Linked DNA regions of Drosophila melanogaster. The main gene of each other region encodes a partner of the protein of the gene in region 2 in a complex. Each region holds a gene or a part of one and is shown on either strand. Other genes may lie near its edges. The genes, in order: HDAC1, Dp, Myb and E2f2.

Region 1 (5,052 bases), on a different chromosome or scaffold from region 2:
CTGAAGAAATGGTTAGTATGTGTCGAAATATAACAAACAACAAGTCTTAAGATTCCTTAAGTTAAGCTTTATTCCATTTCTTCATTATTTTTTCATCTTTCGACTTTTCACTGTACACATTATCAGCCACAGAAGCATAAATAGAAATGCAGCGGGAGAGCAAATCTAGCACTCTTTTTTTTAGTTTTTGTGTTTACTTATTTGCGTTCATTGGCTTCTCTTCCTAACGGCACTTCGGGCCAAGGAGGTGCGAATGAAAAGGAGCTATAATCCGGTTTTATATCGCACTTACCTTTTTTAATTAGAATAAATCAAAACTTTGCTGCGGATTCCGATTCTCTTTATTTGCTATCAAAAGCAAAGCGGACTTTACAGTTACGCCTGTTAAAGTTGTTGTTTTTACTGCACGGTCTGCGGGCCAAATAAAAACAACAAATACTATATTTTTGCTGTTTACTTTACGCCGAACTTCGACGCTAATTGGAAAAAGAGATGCGGGAAGGAGAGAGAGCAATGAAAACTATAATTAAACGCCAGCAAAAAAAGGTCTTAAATATCCTGCGGGCACAGCAACAACAACAGAGAAAAATACAGGAGGAAAACCAAGAGAAAGAAGGGGAGAAGTTAACATAAAGTAACAGAAAGTTGCGAAGGAGAGGCGTTGGTCTCCGAGGGGGAAAGGCATAGGAAAAGACTCTTAAGGGAAAAAGAGAAAAGTCGGAAAGAGAAAAGCTGCGCAGGATATTTTAGCCGCCTATGAAAAATGTTAATTTTGTTTTAAATGTTCACTGCGGGTTTCATATGTTTTTTCTTGCATTATTGGCCACTTCGCTTTGTCACTTTACTTCGGTTTTAATTTTTCCACTTCTTCATTCGCCCAGTGAGTGTGTGCGTGCGAGGGAGATGGAGCGAGAGAGCGTGTTTGTGTTTCCACTGCAACTCCATTCTTCTTTCTCTTTTTTCACACACACACACAGGGCACACACGCACACTTGCACATGGGGGAGTTGGAAACTTACGCGTCGCCGTTTTATTAATTTTATTCAATTAACAATCGCCTCTAATTCAGCAACTCCAAAACACTACAAAATCTCGTTGTACTTGAGCACTATTGTTTGTCGATAAGAAGCCGCCGAAAAACGCCGACCGAGGAGGAAAATCACCCGCGCTGGAAAATCGCGTCCGAGTCGTTCAACGGTGAATTTTAGAGTGAGAAGGAAAATCGTGGGAAACTGCGGTGGATTTTAGAGCGAGATGGGTGATGCTCTGAAAGAGAGAGAGGGAATGCACCCTCTGGCGATGGGCCAAGTTCGATATTAGCATGGATTCCTATCGATTAATCGACTTAACATTATTTACCCCGGACTACAACCTATTACTTCTGTGTTTTTGTTTTTCTTAAATTATAATGAATCATTTATATTTGTATAGAAAATATTGAAATCAATTAGTTTATTCGAATGCTTAAACTTAAATGTTTTCCAACAACATCTCTAGTTCCAGCTTCAGACTCTGCAACGTGATCTTAGCCAATAAACTTTGCTTTATAAACTTATAATTGATCCTTGCTATTTTTCCAAAAAATATGTCGTGATATTTGATAATTTTTGATAAGTACATAGGTCTGATTGTTTATATATCTAATAAAAAATGACCACTCTGTATGAAGAGGGTAATCGTATTTCATATGTAAATTTATTAAATATATTTCTTTAATAAATAATTAAATATATTTGTTTGGTATTTTCGGTATTCATGCAGTTAGTATTAAAAGTATATTCTGCAGAGCCGGGAAGTGTGGATTTAAAAAAGTCCGCGGTCACACTGCCCATCTGCAGAGGTTTCCTCTTCGCGAATTTGTCTTGTGCGCTCCGATTTTGGCTATATAGTTGCGCCAAAGTGCCAAAAATCGGACCGGCACCAAAGTAAACCATCTTCTGAGCTCGCAAGTTCATCCGATCGACGAAGGATAGAAAAACATCGACTTTAAGGGGATTTAAGACCCGCCAACAGCACCGCAAAATGCAGTCTCACAGCAAAAAGCGCGTTTGTTACTACTACGACAGTAAGTTTTGAGCATTTAAATGGAAGTAAAAGGCCTACTAGATGGGTAATTTGTGTTTACAAAGTGCCAGCTAGGGTTACCATGTCGACTTTGTGTTTTTTCCGCATCCACTTAGCATCAGATGATAGCATTTTTGCAAATTTCAAGTTTTACGGCGACTGTACGAGCGCGTTCCGGTCCACAGCGCACTTTTTCCATACGACCGCAGTGCGTTTGTATGCGTTTGTGTGTGTATGTACCTGATGTCTATCTTCCTCTTCTGTGTGTTTTTGTTGCTTTTTCGTTCGGGGCGAAAGTGCTACTACTGCGGTCGTTCGGAAAAAGTGCTGCTCTCAGGCAGACGCCTCGCCGACAGTGGCCTTAAAATTTGTATTCCACATAGCGTGGCAAATAATTACTTTTTCAACGTGCTCATAATTGCGATTTTTGATCCATAGGCGACATTGGCAACTACTACTATGGCCAGGGTCATCCCATGAAGCCCCATCGCATACGCATGACCCACAACCTGCTGCTCAACTATGGGCTCTATCGAAAAATGGAAATATACGTGAGTTACTTTATTAATATGTGATGATAGATATATATATATATATGATAGATTTAAACGCGAATTTCTCTATTCTAGCGTCCCCATAAAGCCACTGCCGATGAGATGACCAAGTTCCACTCGGACGAGTACGTCCGGTTCTTGCGATCCATTCGGCCGGACAACATGTCGGAGTACAACAAGCAGATGCAGCGTTTCAATGTCGGCGAAGATTGTCCCGTCTTCGATGGACTATACGAGTTTTGCCAACTCTCCGCCGGAGGATCCGTAGCTGCGGCCGTAAAACTGAATAAGCAAGCCTCGGAGATCTGCATCAATTGGGGCGGTGGGCTGCATCACGCCAAAAAATCGGAAGCCTCGGGCTTCTGCTACGTCAACGACATTGTTCTGGGAATTCTGGAACTGCTTAAATACCATCAGCGTGTTCTCTACATAGATATAGACGTCCATCACGGCGATGGCGTGGAGGAGGCGTTCTATACCACCGATCGTGTGATGACTGTCAGCTTCCACAAGTACGGAGAGTATTTCCCGGGCACTGGCGATCTGCGAGACATTGGCGCCGGCAAGGGAAAGTACTATGCGGTGAATATACCCCTGCGTGATGGCATGGATGATGATGCGTACGAGAGCATATTTGTGCCCATTATCAGCAAGGTGATGGAAACATTCCAGCCGGCAGCCGTGGTGTTGCAGTGTGGCGCCGATTCGCTGACTGGCGATCGGTTAGGCTGCTTCAATCTCACCGTCAAGGGTCACGGCAAGTGCGTGGAGTTCGTGAAGAAATATAACCTGCCATTCCTGATGGTCGGCGGTGGTGGTTATACCATTCGTAATGTATCCCGCTGCTGGACCTATGAGACCTCCGTTGCACTGGCCGTGGAGATAGCCAACGAACTGCCCTACAACGATTACTTCGAGTACTTTGGGCCCGATTTTAAGCTGCACATTAGTCCCAGCAATATGACGAATCAGAATACATCCGAGTACCTGGAGAAGATCAAGAACCGTCTGTTCGAGAACCTGCGCATGCTGCCTCACGCTCCGGGCGTTCAAATCCAAGCGATTCCCGAGGATGCCATCAACGATGAGTCCGACGACGAGGACAAGGTCGACAAGGATGATCGCCTGCCGCAGAGCGACAAGGACAAGCGCATTGTGCCCGAGAACGAGTACTCCGATTCGGAGGATGAGGGCGAAGGCGGTCGCAGGGATAACCGTTCGTACAAGGGTCAGCGGAAGCGGCCGCGTCTCGACAAGGACACCAACAGCAACAAGGCATCCTCAGAGACGTCCAGCGAGATCAAGGACGAAAAGGAAAAGGGTGAGTGATTAACCATTAGTCATTTTAATTGGTTCTACTGACCACTTGTAATTTGTATTTAAACCCTACTAACTAAACCATTATGCTGTTTTCAGGCGACGGAGCTGATGGCGAGGAATCGACGGCGTCTAATACCAATAGCAACAACAACAGTAACAACAAGAGCGATAATGATGCCGGAGCGACAGCTAATGCCGGATCCGGTTCGGGATCAGGTTCCGGTGCCGGGGCCAAGGGCGCCAAGGAGAACAACATTTGACGTGGCGGCCGCAATTGGTTATAGAAGCCAATTAAGCGACCGCCGAAGTACAAGCCACCGGATTTCACCTAGTGTCGTCTCATTCCCGCGCCCCCCTTCACCAACACGCCCCGTAGCCATGTCCAGGGCTTTTTCTACACGCCCCTACACAAGGTCCCACTGCGATCGGCTCCTTTTTTTCAGTGGGAATATTCCCAAAGGGGGATAAATCAGTAATCAGTGGGCGGAAACACAATTTATTTTAAGATCGAAAGTGTATAGCTAAGCAAAAAGTGAATGCATACTTACAAGCGATCCAATGTGGCGAATAACGCAGAAACTAATTTAATCAAATAAAAATATTTATACATTTATTGATTTTAATTTTAATGGAAAATTAATTGAGCTGCTATCTTTTAAATATTTTCTTTTGGAAGTATTCGATTTCCCATTTTTAGCAAAATACTTACGTTTCCACATTTAGGTTTCTTAGTAACAAACTAAACGATAATTTGTAACAATTTATTTGTATTTTAACTAGGACTAGCTAACAATTTTTAAGATTTTAACTTTGAGTTTCTAAGTTGAGGAGATTGTGGCATTTGGGGGGGAGAAAAGGATCCACTGGGGGTTTTCCCGCCCACCAGTTGACAGTTTGTGACTAGTCGGCGAGGTTTTCCACGGATTGCAGTGGGCGGAGAACTGGAAACTGGCTGCGGTGCTAATCCAGCGATAATATCGAGTCGATGCTGGTGCGATTACTGCGCGGCTGCAGACGCGGTCCACCCAAGTAACTAATTGGATTCGCGAACTGGCGCTGCAGCAGTGAGTTTTCCAGGAAAAGCGTCGGCGGCGGGGGTGGGCGCGTCACTTTC
Region 2 (7,794 bases):
TTCCCATCGAAGAATATGGTCGTCGAAAACTTTGTTTATCCTTGTAGCCAACATTGCAATTAAAAGTAAACAACAATCAGATAAATCTACAATCTTCTTTAGAAGTAGTGTTTCCCCGCAAAACAGGAATATGTATCTTTCATTTCATCTTTTGGCGACTTTATTTATTATATTAATTGTTCCCATGTCCAGAGTTTTCATCAATGCTCATGGCAATATCCTACATAAATGTTAAAAACCTGCCACCATACGCTCATATACATATGTATATATTTATATTGTATTCCTTTAGTCCGGCGGAGCCACAGGAATGATGATGGACCACCTGCCCTCCAACGATAAGCACGTCCACGCTGACTTCTACAATGATTTTGATGATCTGTTCGATGAAGACAACTGGGCCAAGATGAAAACCGATGGGAAACAGTAGAGGCCACCACGCAATAAATGGATTGAAAGATTTGTATTCGCGACTCGTTCTTCTGTCTGTAATTTTACTTGCACAATCAGCGATCATTGGTGTATAAAAAATTGCTTCAACTATTGTTTAATCGCTTATTATATTCATTTGGTTCGTATAACTAAGGTAAATTGCCATGTGAGATAGTGCCGAGGTGGATATGAACTTTGGCTTAGCGTAAATCAACAAAATGCATAATTTTGTACAAAAAAACGAAACTATTAACTAAATTTATCGAACTGAGTTTCAGGTGGAATGAAGCAATCATAATTGAGATAAATACAAATGTACACAATAACCTAATGGATCCGTGGAAGTTGTTAACCAAGTTGTAGGCCCTCTGCAAAGCTATCCGTCCAACGGCGTGCCCAGATAGACCATCGAGACCTCGGTATTGCCGTAGACAGCGGATACTGTGGGATAGAGCTTTTTGTCCGGCAGGCCTGCAAGGTGAAAGTGCATAGAATCGTTCGTATCGCTGGTATCACCAAACTATTTCCCCTTACCCCGGAAGGCCACACCGAGGAACTCGTAGTTCTTCTCGAACGACAAGGTGTTGTCCTCGCAGTCGAGAATGACGCGTATCCGCTCGCCCACTTGGTACTTGGGAGCATTGTTCAGCAGCGGGTAACTGCCCTGCATGTCGCCGTTGTGCAGCAGGTGGTTCTCGACCAGATTCCAGCCCCAGCTCTGGTCGTCGGAGCCGAGCAGAGCCACATAGCCGTGACACTGTAGAGCCGCCTCCTTGGTAGATATGCCGATGACGGCCACAGTGCCCAGCGGTCCCTCCCATATCACCTCCCAGGTGTGACGACCGTGGCGGAATCCTATCTTGCCCCGGGCCGCGTCTGTGCTCTGCGCCACGGGATTGCTGCGGGAATGGAGGGACATACATATAACGCCGACTCAAGCAAACCGAATACCTTACCGATGCAGGGTGAATCCGTTCGGCTTAATGTACACATTCCTCGAACAGTCGTTGGGGCTCCAGGCGTGAAAATAGGCCCGCAGCTTCGTCTTGTACGTGGAGACGGAGGCCAGCAGGTCCGATTTGAGGGACTCCTTGGGCAGCTTGTTCAGGCAGTGCCAGCGCCAGACGTCGCTGTTCTCGTCGTTGAGGAAGTGGTACCAACTTTTGCACACCTGCGAGCAATGACTGAGGTCGTCCAGCTCCAGGTAGGAGAAGATTACCTCCAGCACATTGTAATTGCACAGCGCCGCCACCGGATCGACCATTGTGTGCGTGTGCGCTCCGCTGCTGGGCTCGTGTAGATAGCTGCTTGGATTTACCCGTTCCTGTTGATTGTCATTTTCCCACACCAACCAAATGGGTAAAAATAAAACTCGAAAACTTTAATATTCTGCGATTCAGGGTGACCGTTGGCGGGCTGCCAGCGAAATACCGCTCACCTGGACAAAGTGGCAACTTTGTTTACATCCGCGACCAGTGTGCGATAGCGACTGTCGCACACAGCTGCTTACAACACTGCGTAAATTGATGCGTAAATTGGCGCGCACTGTCTGCCATTTCATTCGCACCCGCACACAGCCTGCTTTGCCTTTCCCACATGAAAACGAAAAGCAGCCACTTGGTGGAAATTTTGTGACCATTTTGTTGCGCTTAGAAATTGCGGAAATTCGCGCTGCTGCCAGCCGTTCGATAGCTAAAAGTTCGCCGTATCTTTTGCCACTAATCTCGTGAAAATCCGTGCGCCGAAACACCGCGAAAAAGGCCACCGAAAAAGGGCCGCCGCTGTGAGTGTGTGTGAGCAGCAGAAAAGAAAAAAAAAATGCCCTGCCGCTGGAAGTGAAAAATGCGCTCGCCATTTTGACTTGGGCGACACTTATTTTTTGTACAAGTGCGCTCCCCATTGCAGTCGTCGTCGTCGTGGTCGTGGTCCGCATCCGGATTTGCACACGTGCCCCAGTCCGTGGGTGCAGTACGTCCGCCTATCCACCGCCGTCGCCCATTCCAGCTCCATTTGCCCCCCCCTAGCACACACGTTGCGGCGAAACGGCACGTAGCACTGCTCTTTCCTTTTGTTTTTGGCGGTCCACCTGGTGAGCGGTAAGCGACAACAACAAGATCACTTGATCTCCGGCGGCCGAAAAATGGCGCATTCGACGGGCGGTACGGTGAAGACCGATGAGGTGAACTTCTTCTTCCGGAACGAGCACGGTAAGTGGGCGGAAGCGGTGTCCTGTAATAGGAGTTTTGCTCACGATGGAGTGAGTGCACTCCCTCCCTCCGCTATAGTCCATCATACACACACACCCCCTCATACACAAGGCGACCCACACAGATACGCTACAAAGTTGCATGGGCAGCGTAAAACGCCATCTTTGCTTTTTCGGGTTTCTTTTGCCTACCGTATTCATCGTTTGATACGCTTTGCGGGGGGAGGCCAGCGAGACGAACCGAAAAGAGTGCTAGAAATTGGCAAAAAGTAATAATAAAAGACAGAGACCCCCGCGAAATAACAACTTATATCAGTAAGCCACCCAGACCCGCCCCCTTCTGCCATCTACGCCCATCGCCCAGTTGGCGCGCTTGCTCACACACACACATGCACGCACACTAGCACGCGCGCGTTTTCTCCTACTTATTTTTTTGTTTTTTCATTGGGCGGCGAACAGCTGATTACTTCGCCGCCACTGCGAATTCGCTTTGAGGATTTAGCATGAAGTGAAGTAGTGATAAATCGTTGATTTCAGCTACGTACAAAGGTATTATTGTGAGGGACATTGTAAATTCAACTTGAAACAAATGTATCTGAACAGCGTGACATTCTGCCATATCTTAGCGAGTGGGAGAGAGACGGGGCGCACCGCCAAGAGAGATCGGGGTGAGAGAAAAAAGGCCACAGCAAGAACAACACTGCCACACACACACACACGTAGTCAGCCACGAAGCTGAAGCCCAAAACAGGCGAGAGCAAATAGGTGTAAGCGCTGTACACGTGTGTAGTTGTCCGTCGCCGCGTTTATGCGGTATTTACCGTACCCCGCAGTACTGAACTGATTAACTTCATGAGTTTCATTCAGTCATGATAGCAAAGAAGAAGATATGGATAGCTTTATGACGTGCTTTTATTTGTATAAAATGTCTCTTTAATCCCCAATATGTAAAGAAATAGTAATTTTTAATCAGTGATATTGCTCTTTGTTGAATATGAAGCGCGCATAAACGCTTTATATAGACCAGTATATCAGCCTGTTCGTACCAGCGAGTTACCTGGTTTGTAGTTATCTGCTGGTTGACTGGTGCAGACGAACTATGGAACTGCTTCTCCAATTGTAGGGATTATGGTTTCACCTGCATTTTGGGACTCTGCCTAGGCATTGTAGGATAACTCCCGCCGAGTTTAAGACTCCCATCGTTACCATCTGGTGGGACAGTCCGGCATTTTCTCGCATGTGTCCGCTGCTCAAGCCCCCGTGAGTCTGACTCACTTGCAGGTGTGTGTGCGTGTGATGTGCCCGTGGGTGCGGGAGAGTTGGCAGGTATTTTTAGCGCTCGACCCTTTGCGGTTTTTGTTTTGGGCATCTTCATCTCCATTATGCGTTGTCCACCTGCTTTGTTGTTATGATTATGCAAATATTGGGCTGGCGACAGGTGAACAATTATTACATCGAATGAATACCATCTAAAACTGGAAATGTTTAGAAAAGCCGGTTGGATACGAAACCCAGGGGTGCCAACCGAGTAGTCTTAATGGGTTTCCGGTTAATTCTGCCTTGATATTATAGTTGCTTTGGAATGGAAGTGCTCATAGTGTTGGATATACCAAATTAGCAGTAAATAAAATTTACTAAAGAACGCAACTAAGAACAGTGATTTGAAATGTCACGCTTTTAAAAATACTAACCGGTATCATATTTGCTCTTACTTTTTCTTCTGCTTAGGCTTCTGCTTGATTTATTGTCTTTCCAGTTAAAAGTCGAATTGTGAGTTTTAATGGGAAACCTATAATCGCACTATATTTAATTCAAATTATATTCGAACTTGGATTAATCCGACTAATGACTGATCAACAATCTTGTCGAGTCACGAACTTTAGTATCGAACCATCTCTAATTGGTTAAGGGTCACGTGGTTGCCATCACTAATGTCCAGGCGATCTGGTTTCGGGTTGTTTATGCTTCTGCATTTGTATCCTTGTCACACCGATTGAAACACACGCACACTCACCACCAGCACGTGAGTGTGGGTATACCTTGTGTGTATGTGTGTATGCACCCCAATCTTAATGTGCCGCTCGCCTTTCGTTGTTGTATTCCGACTCCAGTGCGCTTAACTCGCTCCATTCCATTCTCTTCACTTCGCTGCGATGAATTCACCGTATATACGGCGAAAAAACGCATCGTTGATAGTACCACACATACATTCAGTTACTCGCTAACACTCTGACACCCATGTGTGTGTCTGTGGAGTACATGCAGTTTTGTTATCAACGACGGCATTTCAGTCGCGTGTTATGTGTATATCGGAAACTAAGGAACCTCCGCATCTTCCAATTTCCAATTCTGCAGGACAAATATCCAAAATGCTGAAGCCGGCCCAGAACAAGTCCGAAATGGAGGGAGGTAAGCCCGTGGCGGTGGTCTACGCCACCGGCTCATCCGCGCGCAACAGCGGAAGTGCTAGCGGCATCGGCAACGTGGGACGCATGGGCGCCTTTAGTCAGATGGTAAGTGTAGAACGCGGTTGCTCACGTTGCTTACACTTAGTACCTAACGATCCGATTTAAACGCAGGGCAGTCAAGGGCAGTTTATACGACTGCAGGACAACGGACTGTCCATTCCAAAAACAGAAGGTAAGCGTGTGATCCTCCTCTTACCACTTCAATTAATCATTGTATCCCTTATTGTAGCAGGTACCACCTACACCACCGTTTCGGCGCAAAAGACTTCGGGTGCTGGCAGTGGTCATTACGACTTGCCCTTGAAGGGAGATCGCTATGTGAAGTTTACACCAAATCCCATAAAAATGAAATCAAAACTGTAAGTAGTAACCAACCGAGCAGGATCGAGGAGGATACTATAGCTTTGTTCCTTCCCAAACAGCCATGCCATTCAGAGCAACTCGTTGCACTCCATGTCGGCCTCCTCATCGTCCGTTCAAAGGAAACGCAAGCCGGACAAGGCAGGCAAAGGTTTGCGCCATTTCTCGATGAAGGTATGCGAAAAGGTGGAGGAGAAGGGCAAGACCACCTACAATGAGGTGGCCGACGACCTGGTCAGCGAGGAGATGAAGAACAATGCGTACGACAACAACTGTGATCAAAAGAATATCCGACGTCGTGTCTACGATGCGCTCAACGTACTGATGGCAATCAATGTTATTTCCAAGGACAAGAAGGAGATTCGCTGGATAGGACTGCCCGCAAATTCGACAGAGGTGGGACTTGTGTTCACCAAAGGCACCAAACTCCATGCTAATGTGATTATTTTGTCCCCTTTTCATAGACATTTCTGGCCCTGGAAGAGGAAAACTGTCAGCGCCGCGAGCGAATAAAACAGAAAAACGAAATGTTGCGCGAAATGATCATGCAGCATGTGGCGTTCAAGGGATTGGTCGAGCGGAACAAGCGAAACGAGAGCCAAGGCGTGGTGCCTTCCCCGAATGCCTCGATCCAGCTACCGTTCATCATCGTGAACACGCACAAGTCCACGAAAATCAACTGCAGTGTGACCAACGACAAGTGAGCGCTCACACTCAGTCGGAGTATGGCTTGTATTCTATTTCCCATATATCGTTTCAGGTCCGAATACATATTCAAGTTCGACAAAACCTTCGAAATGCACGATGACATTGAGGTGCTCAAGCGTATGGGATTCCTATTGGGTGAGTGTGTTTAATATTGGGCATTCGGGATAAGAAATTCATTGCATATGCTATTACCTGCAGGACTGGATAAGGGCGAATGCACGCCGGAGAACATTGAACGAGTCAAGTCGTGGGTGCCTCCAAACCTTGCCAAATACGTAGAAGGTATGACCATATATTGTCTTCCAATTCACTGTTATTAAACTTTATATTTGGCCCAGCCTACGGCACCGGCAAGACTGGCGAAAATATGTACGAATCGGATGACGAGGACAATGAGTTCAACGGGTACCTGGAGTCGGCCAATGAGTCCCAGGGCTTTGCACAACACTCGGCACAACACACCACCGATGGCGAGTTCAAGCTGGAGATGGATGATGACGAGCTGGACGACGACATTGATTGAGCTGATGGTGCCGCCGTCATTGTGCCAGCCATGGCCGATGCGGACACGGATGCGGATGGAGGAGCAGATGCTGATGCGGAGGACACGTTTAGTTTTACGTTTATCAACGCTTTGTTAGGTTTGCCACGGCCCCCTGGTTAGTCAGGAGCCGCACTCCACTCCAATCCACTCCACACCCAATCCGACCCACCCACACAATTGGTTTTGTTTACTTCTCAATGAGACTCTTAAATTATATATATACAATCTCGCAGCGACGAGAAAGATTCGGTAGTTCATGTATGTAAGTGTAGTTTGCATACACAGTTTGTAATTGTATCATTGAAGATTTATGTTTAAGCTGAAACGTTTTTAAAATAATTTGTCTAGTTAAGGAGAACGCGTTTTTAGTTCAAACCACAATTCACATAAGGCAATACCGCGAAACCACATGCCCAGACTAATGTTCACTCTCTAATTAGTTGTTATCAGTCTCCCTTTTCCCCCCAATGGCCTTTTCATGTTTGGGTAGGCTTAAGCAAAAGCGATAATGTTATGGGTAATTGTCTCTTAATAATATAATATACCAAAACTGTACACAACCGCAGTGAAATGCAATTATTTTTAGAATGCCACGAGCAGTTTGAACTGCAGACAAGAGCGAACATATGAAATATGTTTAATTTGCTAACACCCTTTGACAAAGCGATTCTTTTAGATTCTCAAAACCCAAATTTTAAGTTGACAAGGGAGTGCAGATAGTTGCGAAATAATCAACCTACCTAATTAGTAATAACAATTAAAACACGATATACATTTTCAGAATTTGTATTTATATTATTGAACCCTCTTCAAGTGAATACAACAGCATGCAAATACAAATTAGTAGTCAAGTATAAGGCGTTAACAATTAAGTGTCGAGCATGTAGTTGTGTAATGAAACGAAATAATTGCATGGATGGAAAGGAAATTGCAAACAAGTGAGACGAAATCGAACCGAGTGACAAGTTAATAAAGAAGTAATTTGCATATTGTAAAATATGATAAACAGAGAATTTAATCTTTTCCTCCCTTCTGCTTGCACCCAACCCAAGCAATAAGTCCAATAATCCATGACA
Region 3 (5,045 bases), on a different chromosome or scaffold from region 2:
CTATTGCTATCGTTTATATTAACTTATTGTTTATATTGTACTTATTGTTTATGAAGCATGTTCAAGCTAGTTTTTAAGCAGTACAAGTGCAAAAGTACCAGTCCTGATTTAACGGAAGTTGTTAAGATCGATGATTGTGTAGTCAAGGGGAATGATCAAGAAAAGAGTGATAATGTAAGTACTCGATCCGTTGCAATTGAATTATGATTTCTACATTCCCCTCAGAATATTGTTCAACGATTAAGTATCAGCAATGTAGAAAGCCTACAGACAATGCCAGGCGTTAAATCGCCAAAAGATTGGCGAACCTATACATTAACTAACCATCCCGGCATTATTGTGATTCGGAATCCATTCTCGGAACGAGGCCGGCGTTATTGGAGCGCCCGATGTCTGCGGGATTTTCCGCGAACGCCAAATATAGTCAATTTAAATGAAAGGCTCTTCGATGAATCCGTCAGGTCGGACTGGTGGAAACAGCTTAATCTGTGCAGCGATGGCGTTGAGTTCCAACGTATAAAATCCGCGATGCGTTGGACGACATTTGGATATCATCACAACTGGGACACGAAGATCTATGATGAGGAGATGCAGTCGCCGTTTCCCGAAGATTTGAGCAGTCTATGCGGATTGTTTGCGCAAGCGTTGGGATACGCGGATTTTAAGCCAGAAGCCGCAATTGTAAATTACTATCCAGTTGGTAGTACGTTATCGGGTCACACAGATCACTCTGAACCAAACAAATCGGCCCCTTTGTTTTCTTTTAGGTAATATATCACGGATTAAACATATCCGTGCAGCTAATTTTTTTTTAATTTTATGCTTACAGTTTTGGTCAGACTGCAATATTTCTAATTGGTGGAAGATCTTTAGAAGAAAAGCCAACCGCTATCTACCTTCAATCCGGGGACGTTATGATAATGTCCGGAGAATCGCGTCTATGCTATCACGCAGTTCCTCGTATCATCAAAACTCAGGCTTCCGCGACTTTATCACTGATAATTGAAGATGTCGATAATGCAGATATTAAAACGCGTACAATTGATAAAGATTTATTTCATGATGTTGGCAACCCTCAATTTTGGGAGCCTTTTTCGAGATATATGGACGATTCACGTATTAATATTAATATACGTCAAGTTTTAAATCCAGGAGATGTTAAGCTTTAACCCCTCCTTGGAAAAATTTTTAATTTTATAGTATTTTACAAAATAAAAAACTGCATTTCAATTGAAAACTAAAGAAACATAGCAATTAACGTTGAAGTGATGCGTTCAATGGAAATATCTTAAATGTATAGGTGAAGTTAATAGTTTTATAAATATATTTTTCAGTCCCTATAAATGCTACTGACAACTAAATTTGGCAATTCTGACAAAATTATTTTATCCGATGGCAACTTTTTAACAATATTTCCAAGAAGTTGATAGCTAAATATCGATACTATCCCAGCTATCGTACAAGATATTGACTTCTAGTGGAAACGTGCCGATTACCGTAGTGATTATTTATCGATAGATTTTAATCGTTTTGAATTACAACGCTAGTGCTCGTGTAACGGTCACACTAAGTACTACATTTAATATAATAAGATGCGACGCCGTAAAATTCCAGTGTGAAAACGTGAATGAACTGATCAAAAACACCAAAGTGTGTACCCATAGCCCAGCAGTTTGAATTTGAAATAACGGTAGCACCACTTTAGATGAAGACAAATGTGCGAGTGGTAATTTTTTTCCCCCGTTTTCCTCAGTGCTAAATATAGAGCATCAAAATGTTTGGCATAAACGTAATATCGTAAAACTTGCATCTGCTTTTTAGTTCGCTGCCTGAATGAGTATGTCCACAAATATCTGTAATCTTCAAGTAACAAAGAACACGAATCCAAACCAAAATCGCCTCGAGGAGCAGCAAACAAAACTATTCGATTTTGGGCGGACCGAGAGCGATGCGACGCACCCAATATTGCGCAGCGATCATCAACGTGAACTGGTCGACTGCCTGACGTGCGGAAATCAATTCAAGTGTAACTCGTACAGCGACATTTGCTCGCACTACATATTCTACCATCCGCATATTCTGGATCATTTGCCCAAGTGCTTGTACTGCAAACGCGACGTTCATCGTTTCCAGCGTGGGAACAAGTCAGAGCCGGAGATCTATCACTTTTGTTCGCCCCGCAAGCAGCGTTAAAGAACCCATACACATATATACAAAGAGCGCCATTATTCATATATATATACCTATAAAGTTGATCTTAAGATGGCAAGTGCGAGCACTGAAAACGGCGAGGAGCTGATGAATTACGGCAGCAATTCGGATTCGGAGGAGTCCGAGTACTCGGAGAACGAGGATACCCAAGTTTGCGACAAGGATTCACAACAGAACAGCAATGCCGATTCGGGCTATCCACTGGACTCGCCCGAACTACAGGACTCCAAGACGACGGGGCAAAAGGGACAGAACAAAAGCGGTAAAACTAGCATCGGTGCAGTGCATCCGAACTATGGATTCGGCAAACGCTGGTCCAAGTCCGAGGATGTGTTGCTCAAGCAGCTGGTGGAGACGCACGGTGAGAACTGGGAGATTATCGGACCGCATTTCAAGGATCGCCTGGAACAGCAAGTGCAGCAGCGTTGGGCCAAAGTCCTCAATCCGGAGCTAATCAAGGGCCCGTGGACGCGGGACGAGGACGACATGGTTATTAAGCTGGTGCGCAACTTCGGGCCCAAGAAATGGACACTAATTGCACGATATCTGAACGGACGAATTGGGAAACAGTGCCGCGAGAGATGGCACAACCACCTCAATCCGAATATCAAGAAAACGGCCTGGACCGAAAAGGAGGACGAGATTATCTACCAGGCTCACTTGGAGCTGGGCAACCAGTGGGCAAAGATTGCCAAACGTCTGCCCGGACGCACCGATAACGCCATTAAAAACCATTGGAATTCAACAATGCGTCGCAAATATGACGTCGAACGCAGATCGGTTAATGCATCTGGTAGCGATTTGAAGAGTTCGCGAACCCATCTCATCACGCTGATCAAGTCCGGTGGCATCAGCAAGTGTATGAATAATATGCAACATAACAAGGAATCTGGTGGTGAGGCAGTTAATAAATCCGAAAACGCCGATGGCGCTTCGGTTACTGCCGTGAAAGGTGGTGATCTGGCACAGGAATCACAAGACGATCATCAAAAGGGATCCAATCTGGCACACCTCAGTATGCAGCATCTCATTAAGTTGACCATGCCGCGCCAAACACCGATCATATTGAAGCGTACACGCAAACACATTCCCGAAACTCACCATCAGGCAGGATGTTCATCAAGTGAGACATTCAACCAGGAAGAAGCCGCCGGAAACGCCAGGTCGCGACCACCGAGTTCGCCCGTCATATCGCCCATTAAGTCGCTACCCTTTTCACCGAGTCACTTCCTCAAGTCGCCTTGCCTGACCACCTTTGAAGATATGGATCTGCGGGCTAGCACGCCGGTAACCAAGGTCTATAATCGCGTTGGAATGGAGATCAAAAAGGAAATGGAGACATCGTCGATAGAAACTCCACACAAGAGTAAGTACAAGCCACTGTTGGCTTCAAATGCATCTTGAATACACACAATCATCGTTATTTGTAGGTCAACTTGGACCACGAACACCAACGCCCTTCAAAAAGGCACTTGCTGCCATCGGCAAGAAGAGGGACGGTCGTCGATACGAGCCCTCCAGCCCATCCAGTCTGGTGGAGGATCTGGCCGAAATCATCCATGAAGAGCATCTGAGCAACTCGCTGACCGCAAACAATTCCAAAATGATGGGCGCCGCCGATCAGAACTCAACGCTAAGCACCGAATACAATGCTCAGTCGCCGCCGCATATGAAACGTGCCAGGAAGTCATTGCTCTCAACTTGGAGCTCCAATCATCCATACAACGCTGGCTCCGCCAAGAGGATTCAACCCTTCGAAACCGAGACGCCCAGCAAGTTTCTCACATCGCCGGGCGATATTTTGAAGGACACGCTGTGCAGCGAACAGGACCTGCCGTTCGACGAGGGCAGAAAGGAGAATCGACCATTCCATAATCGCAGAATTAACAAGTACCGCGGTGGCTTGACCTACGATCATGTCATTGATCCCAAGTGGGCACGCGTCGCTTGTGGCAAGTCCAGAGATCAAATGTTTATGGAGGAGCAGGCTTATGCGTGCCTCAAAAATCTGTCCTGTATTTCGCGCTCCCTGAACTTCGAGAAACAAAAGTGTTTGGTGAATTCGTTCGACCGCTTTGGTTCGCTCTAAATTCTATGTGGCTATATTCAGGTATTACAAACAAAATTCTATACGCATCATCTTTATAATATTGTAGATATGAATCCCCAAATTTTCATCCAAATTGTGTTTTCGAAATAGAATTTATTGTGCTACATTTATGGCATTATTGGTTACATCCACCTTAAATTGTATCCCATTTTTTTCGGATATTTCATAAATAAATAAATGCTTAAAGTGAATGAAGCGTGTTTTAACACAAAGGACTTACATATATATATCGTTTTTTTTTGGCTTTGTAGGTTACAGAAGAGAGATATATTTATTCAAAAATATATCTATTATATTACAGAGAATATTTTGATAGACATTTGCCAAACCTTCGATTTCTAACTTTGTTCGTCTGCAATATGTTTATTGAATATGTCCAGATATTTTGGCACTAGTTCTTTCGCCGAAAAACGATCGAAATTAAAGTTCTCAAAGAATTGATCGCGCTGCTTGCGAAAGACCCTCGGCATTCTACAAAAGTTGTAGAGCTTCTTCGTCAGCGCATTGGAGGTGTTGTAGAGGTTTTCCTTTGGGTAGATTTCCGGGTAGACCAATTTGTTGGGCGCAATGGGATAACAGCCGCAGAAAGCGGCCTCCAGCATTGCTACTCCAAAAAACTCATGGTCGGCAGTTGATATCACAATGTCCCCAGTCAGCAGGGTCTTCAAGTACTCTTCACGCTCCAGATGGCCAAAGTTCACCAGCTTGCTGCCCAGTTTCTCCT
Region 4 (4,882 bases), on a different chromosome or scaffold from region 2:
CTGGCTACGCCCATGCTTTCGCCGGGCAGCAAAACAAAGTCAGCTGTTTTTGTTTATCAACGTTTGTTTTTCTCGCAAAAATGATGCGAAATGCCTTGTTAGTAAGCGGGTAAGTCAAAAAATAGACTGCAAAAGTAGATTACATTACAGTTTTGCATTCCAGCAAACTGAGACATTTGCTATCCTGTTCTATCGGGCGAAATTCGACTAGAAGCAGCAGCACAGCGAAGTCGTTGGATGCCGGCACCCAAAAGGAAGTGCGGCACCATGAGAATCACGCCTCGGAGTGGTGGAATCAAAATGGAACCATGGGTGCTCTACATGCCCTGAATGAGATTAGGTAAGCTATACAGATTTGATGTTCCAAAGGTTTATAGCTAAGTTCCTTTCCACCTTTCAGGGTTCCCTTTATCAGAGATGGCATCGTTTCGCGTGGCACTGTGAAGCCAGGTTACGTAAATACCACCAAAGTGTTGTTGGGTCAAAATATTCTGGAGGTCGGATGTGGCGGAGGATTGCTTACGGAACACTTGGCGCGCCTGGGTGCCCAGGTGGCTGGCATAGATCTTGGCGAGAAGTTAATAGAAGCTGCTCGCGAGCATCTCAAATGCTCCAGTCCGGAGTTGGCCAGCAATGTGGTGTACAAAATTGAGCCGGTGGATCAGCATGCCAAGGCCAATTGCGAATGCTATGATGCGGTGATAGTGTCTGAAGTTCTGGAGCACGTCAAAGATAAAGTGTCCCTGCTGGAGGCCAGTGTACGCAGCCTAAAGCCTGGAGGATCCATCTTTATCACCACTTTGAACAAAACCATACCCAGTTGGTTCGGTGGCGTGTTACTCAGCGAGTATGTTCTCAATCTGGTGCCCAGGGGAACGCACCACTGGGACAAAATGATTTCGCCCTTGGACGTTCAGCGCATCTTGGATACGAGTAAGTTTATCTCAGGCTTTATATTCAGATTAGGCTATTCTTTATTCTCTCGTTCATCTGCAGTGAACTGTCAGACGGTGTTGGTAAATGGAAGCACCTACGACTTTTGGAGCAACACCTGGCGATGGATCAACAACAACCAGATGTGCTACGCCTTGCAGGCGGTGAAACAAGCACAGCGCGAGTACAATTGAATTCGTATATTTATTTAACTAAAAGCTAAGTCACGAGTGTAACAACTAAGTAGTAAACTATTCGTCACCCGAGCGTGGTTTCTTAAAGTACTGCTTCTTCATGGCATGCGGACTATCACTATCTCCGCCGATTTGCTTCCTTTTAAAGTCCTTTTTGGTGTTAAACTTCTTGCTCATGCTGCCGGAGACCGTGGGCGCCTTGTTGGCATAATAAGCCTTTACCATGTCTTGGTCGGATACCTCCTTGGGCTGCTCCGGCCTTGTGCGGCCCTGCTTTTCCGCCAGATCCTGCTCCATGAGAAGTTCTAGCTCCGGATTCATGCCGCGGAAACTGAGGCGTCCGTCTATCAGGCCGGCGCATATCGAGTAGCTGGACTCCACCACAAAATTCGAGGTGGAATTGAGCATCTTCTGGTTGATCTCGTTGGAGTACAGTGCCCTGCTCTGCTCATCGTCTGCCTCCTTTTCCACTTTAACTTTTGTGCGCTGCATGAACTTCATGTCCAGGACACCACGCGAAAGTCTCGGCTTTGATTTGGATGGCATTTTCCTTATTTATTTTTGAATCTAATATAGTAGAAGTCCTTTGAGTTTAAAAACTAGGGCGAAACCATCAGGCACATTTAATTTTTTTCAAAAGCAGAATGACCGAGCACAACAAATGGGGAAAGCCAGTGCTGCAAATCATCGTTCAGCCTAGCTAGAAAACGTGGCGCGCCCTCGTGTTTATGCGATGTTTAAAGTAAATATTTAAATTACTGTTGAAAGTTAAAACAATCCTTCGTTATCAAGTTGATCTTTTTAAAATTTTAAATTCACCCTACTGACAAACAAGCTCAACTCCATCTTCATGGGCACTCTTAAGAAAACTTCCAGCTGTGCTATACATGCTCTGTAAACGATCAAGACTAGCACAGGCGCCTTCAAAGGGTTAATGCTTTTAATTTGAAACCTAAAAAAGACCCAATTTCATTTAAAAGTTGTCGCCAATATTATCGGACAATAAACCTTAACGAATGGCTAAATATTATGGAGTACTAAAATAATTATTATTTATTCGTGATGATACATTTGAAGACCAAGTAGAAAACATTGGATGATCTGTGTGTTGGACTGCAGACTAAACTAAATACAGAATTTAAATGAAAATTAATTGAAATTAAAGATCAAAATATTAAAAATGTTTACCTGTTTAAAATATAGTGTTGAAATGTGCGCAAGCATCGATTAATCGATTTACTATCGTCGTGGCAGCGTCGCTTTGCCACACTGCGCAGTGCGCACGAAGAATAGAGGGAGAATGAAAAAAATGACATAAATGGCGGAAAGCAAACCTAGCGCCAACATTCGTATTTTCGTTTAATTTTCGCTCCAAAGTGCAATTAATTCCGGCTTCTTGATCGCTGCATATTGAGTGCAGCCACGCAAAGAGTTACAAGGACAGGAGTATAGTCATCGAGTCGATTGCGGACCATGTACAAGCGCAAAACCGCGAGTATTGTTAAAAGAGACAGCTCCGCAGCGGGCACCACCTCCTCGGCTATGATGATGAAGGTGGATTCGGCTGAGACTTCGGTCCGGTCGCAGAGCTACGAGTCTACACCCGTTAGCATGGACACATCACCGGATCCTCCAACGCCAATCAAGTCTCCGTCGAATTCACAATCGCAATCGCAGCCTGGACAACAGCGCTCCGTGGGCTCACTGGTCCTGCTCACACAGAAGTTTGTGGATCTCGTGAAGGCCAACGAAGGATCCATCGACCTGAAAGCGGTACTAACACGGCCAAGCATTAAGTACTCTACCTTAACATCGTCCAAATTTCCCCTCTGCAGGCAACCAAAATCTTGGACGTACAGAAGCGCCGAATATACGATATTACCAATGTTTTAGAGGGCATTGGACTAATTGATAAGGGCAGACACTGCTCCCTAGTGCGCTGGCGGTAAGAGCCCCTTACATTTTATGAAACATTTTAGTTAGAACTAAAAATGTTAGTGACAACAAAATTAAACAAAATGGGGTGGAAGTCGCCCTTTAGCACTTAATACTTAATACAGTACAAACAGGTGGAATTTACTTTGATCATCTTCAAAGTATGATTCCACATAAATATTTCTTGATAAATTATTGATAATGTGCATTTTCCAGCGGAGGGGGCTTTAACAATGCCAAGGACCAAGAGAACTACGACCTGGCACGTAGCCGGACTAATCATTTGAAAATGTTGGAGGATGACCTAGACAGGCAACTGGAGTATGCACAGCGCAATCTGCGCTACGTTATGCAGGATCCCTCGAATAGGTCGTATGCATATGTGACACGTGATGATCTGCTGGACATCTTTGGAGATGATTCCGTATTCACAATACCTAATTATGACGAGGAAGTAGATATCAAGCGTAATCATGTAGGTATCTTACCAGTCGGAGCTCTTTAAACTAGCTTTCGAGGTTTCCCATTTCTTTCAACGAAGAAATATCTAAATTTATCGTATAATATGGGATTCAAACGAAACATTGTTTTTGTAGTACGAGCTGGCCGTGTCGCTGGACAATGGCAGCGCAATTGACATTCGCCTGGTGACGAACCAAGGAAAGAGTACTACAAATCCGCACGATGTGGATGGGTTCTTTGACTATCACCGTCTGGACACGCCCTCACCCTCGACGTCGTCGCACTCCAGCGAGGATGGTAACGCTCCAGCATGCGCGGGGAACGTGATCACCGACGAGCACGGTTACTCGTGCAATCCCGGGATGAAAGATGAGATGAAACTTTTGGAGAACGAGCTGACGGCCAAGATAATCTTCCAAAATTATCTGTCCGGTCATTCGCTGCGGCGATTTTATCCCGATGATCCGAATCTAGGTTTGTCTTCTTATCTTGCCAATTTAAAAGACCCCCTGTTTAACTTGATGCTGTCCGATGTTGCAGAAAACCCGCCGCTGCTGCAGCTGAATCCTCCGCAGGAAGACTTCAACTTTGCGTTAAAAAGCGACGAAGGTATTTGCGAGCTGTTTGATGTTCAGTGCTCCTAACTGTGGAAGGGGATGTACACCTTAGGACTATAGCTACACTGCAACTGGCCGCGTGCATTGTGCAAATATTTATGATTAGTACAATTTTGACTTTGGATTTCTCTATATCGTCTAGAAATTTTTAATTAGTGTAATACCTTGTAATTTCGCAAATAACAGCAAAACCAATAAATTCGTAAATGCACACATTGTAGGTTGTGTATTTTTTTGTTTTAGGTAACTTCCGTAAATGTCGTGGAATTATTTGGTCGTGTATGTGGAAAGTGCCAAGGAAGGTTGGAAAGATTTATAGGTTTGTTTTAATTTGGTCTAGAAAATCTATGATGCCTTGTTAAGCGTTTATGTTTACGTTTTTAGAGAGATGGTTGATGTCTTGGTATTTTTCCAGGGCTGGAAAGTGTTGTACTTGGAACAGCTGATTAAGATGTGGGATACGTTATCGAAAACGTTACTTGGTCCCCTTATGTTATTGTAACATGTACTTTATTCAAAGTATAATTGTCGAATCCGTTATCGCTGAGAAGTCTGTTGATTCTTTTGATCTCTGTAGATTTAAGTTTACATTTGGGATTTTTAACCACGGTTTTTTCAATGTGTCTGGGAAAAGTGTGCAGTAGTCCCGCTGTTTGTTTGCAGCAAAATCTGCGTTTTCCCTTTCCCAGTCTTTTTGAATGATTTAAACCGAGACATCTTTAATGGTCCAACTTACTTCGG

The links.
Region 1: Dp (region 2) and HDAC1 share a complex: the UniProt entries of both Drosophila melanogaster proteins name them as parts of the DREAM complex.
Region 3: Dp (region 2) and Myb share a complex: the UniProt entries of both Drosophila melanogaster proteins name them as parts of the DREAM complex.
Region 4: Dp (region 2) and E2f2 share a complex: the UniProt entries of both Drosophila melanogaster proteins name them as parts of the DREAM complex.

Annotation. Positions count from the first base shown.
Region 1 is NT_037436.4:4,624,918-4,629,969, forward strand, and holds HDAC1 (histone deacetylase 1), read left to right. Parts: upstream 1-1,816; 5' UTR 1,817-2,022; coding exon 2,023-2,065; intron 2,066-2,502; coding exon 2,503-2,615; intron 2,616-2,693; coding exon 2,694-3,939; intron 3,940-4,034; coding exon 4,035-4,198; 3' UTR 4,199-4,550; downstream 4,551-5,052. Other genes in the region: axo (axotactin), read right to left, coding at 4,899-5,052. UniProt on the Drosophila melanogaster protein: Catalyzes the deacetylation of lysine residues on the N-terminal part of the core histones (H2A, H2B, H3 and H4).
Region 2 is NT_033778.4:13,220,474-13,228,267, forward strand, and holds Dp (DP transcription factor), read left to right. Parts: upstream 1-1,959; 5' UTR 1,960-2,572; coding exon 2,573-2,639; intron 2,640-3,117; exon of another isoform or gene 3,118-3,187; intron 3,188-3,701; exon of another isoform or gene 3,702-3,989; intron 3,990-4,848; exon of another isoform or gene 4,849-4,938; coding exon of another isoform or gene 4,939-4,993; coding exon 4,994-5,151; intron 5,152-5,217; coding exon 5,218-5,278; intron 5,279-5,335; coding exon 5,336-5,465; intron 5,466-5,528; coding exon 5,529-5,862; intron 5,863-5,930; coding exon 5,931-6,166; intron 6,167-6,226; coding exon 6,227-6,309; intron 6,310-6,372; coding exon 6,373-6,456; intron 6,457-6,512; coding exon 6,513-6,697; 3' UTR 6,698-7,272; downstream 7,273-7,794. Other genes in the region: CG17059 (uncharacterized protein), read left to right, coding at 293-430; Fsn (F-box synaptic protein), read right to left, coding at 809-903, 967-1,331, 1,389-1,696. UniProt on the Drosophila melanogaster protein: Component of the DREAM complex, a multiprotein complex that can both act as a transcription activator or repressor depending on the context. In follicle cells, the complex plays a central role in the site-specific DNA replication at the chorion loci.
Region 3 is NC_004354.4:15,854,322-15,859,366, reverse strand, and holds Myb (Myb oncogene-like), read left to right. Parts: upstream 1-1,543; 5' UTR 1,544-1,690; exon of another isoform or gene 1,691-1,753; 5' UTR 1,754-1,839; coding exon of another isoform or gene 1,840-2,193; 5' UTR 2,194-2,262; coding exon 2,263-3,577; intron 3,578-3,641; coding exon 3,642-4,300; 3' UTR 4,301-4,535; downstream 4,536-5,045. Other genes in the region: AlkB, read left to right, coding at 58-174, 226-767, 830-1,169; CG46440 (uncharacterized protein), read left to right, coding at 1,840-2,193; CG15914 (uncharacterized protein), read right to left, coding at 4,660-5,045. UniProt on the Drosophila melanogaster protein: DNA-binding protein that specifically recognizes the sequence 5'-YAAC[GT]G-3'. Component of the DREAM complex, a multiprotein complex that can both act as a transcription activator or repressor depending on the context.
Region 4 is NT_033779.5:21,153,762-21,158,643, reverse strand, and holds E2f2 (E2F transcription factor 2), read left to right. Parts: upstream 1-1,894; 5' UTR 1,895-2,600; coding exon 2,601-2,900; intron 2,901-2,962; coding exon 2,963-3,072; intron 3,073-3,278; coding exon 3,279-3,537; intron 3,538-3,658; coding exon 3,659-3,998; intron 3,999-4,064; coding exon 4,065-4,168; 3' UTR 4,169-4,351; downstream 4,352-4,882. Other genes in the region: Coq3 (coenzyme Q3), read left to right, coding at 81-109, 164-340, 401-1,127; Mpp6 (M-phase phosphoprotein 6), read right to left, coding at 1,185-1,673. UniProt on the Drosophila melanogaster protein: Transcriptional repressor that binds to E2f sites and represses E2f-regulated target genes. Binding to E2f sites requires transcription factor Dp. Acts synergistically with Rbf2 to antagonize E2f1-mediated transcriptional activation.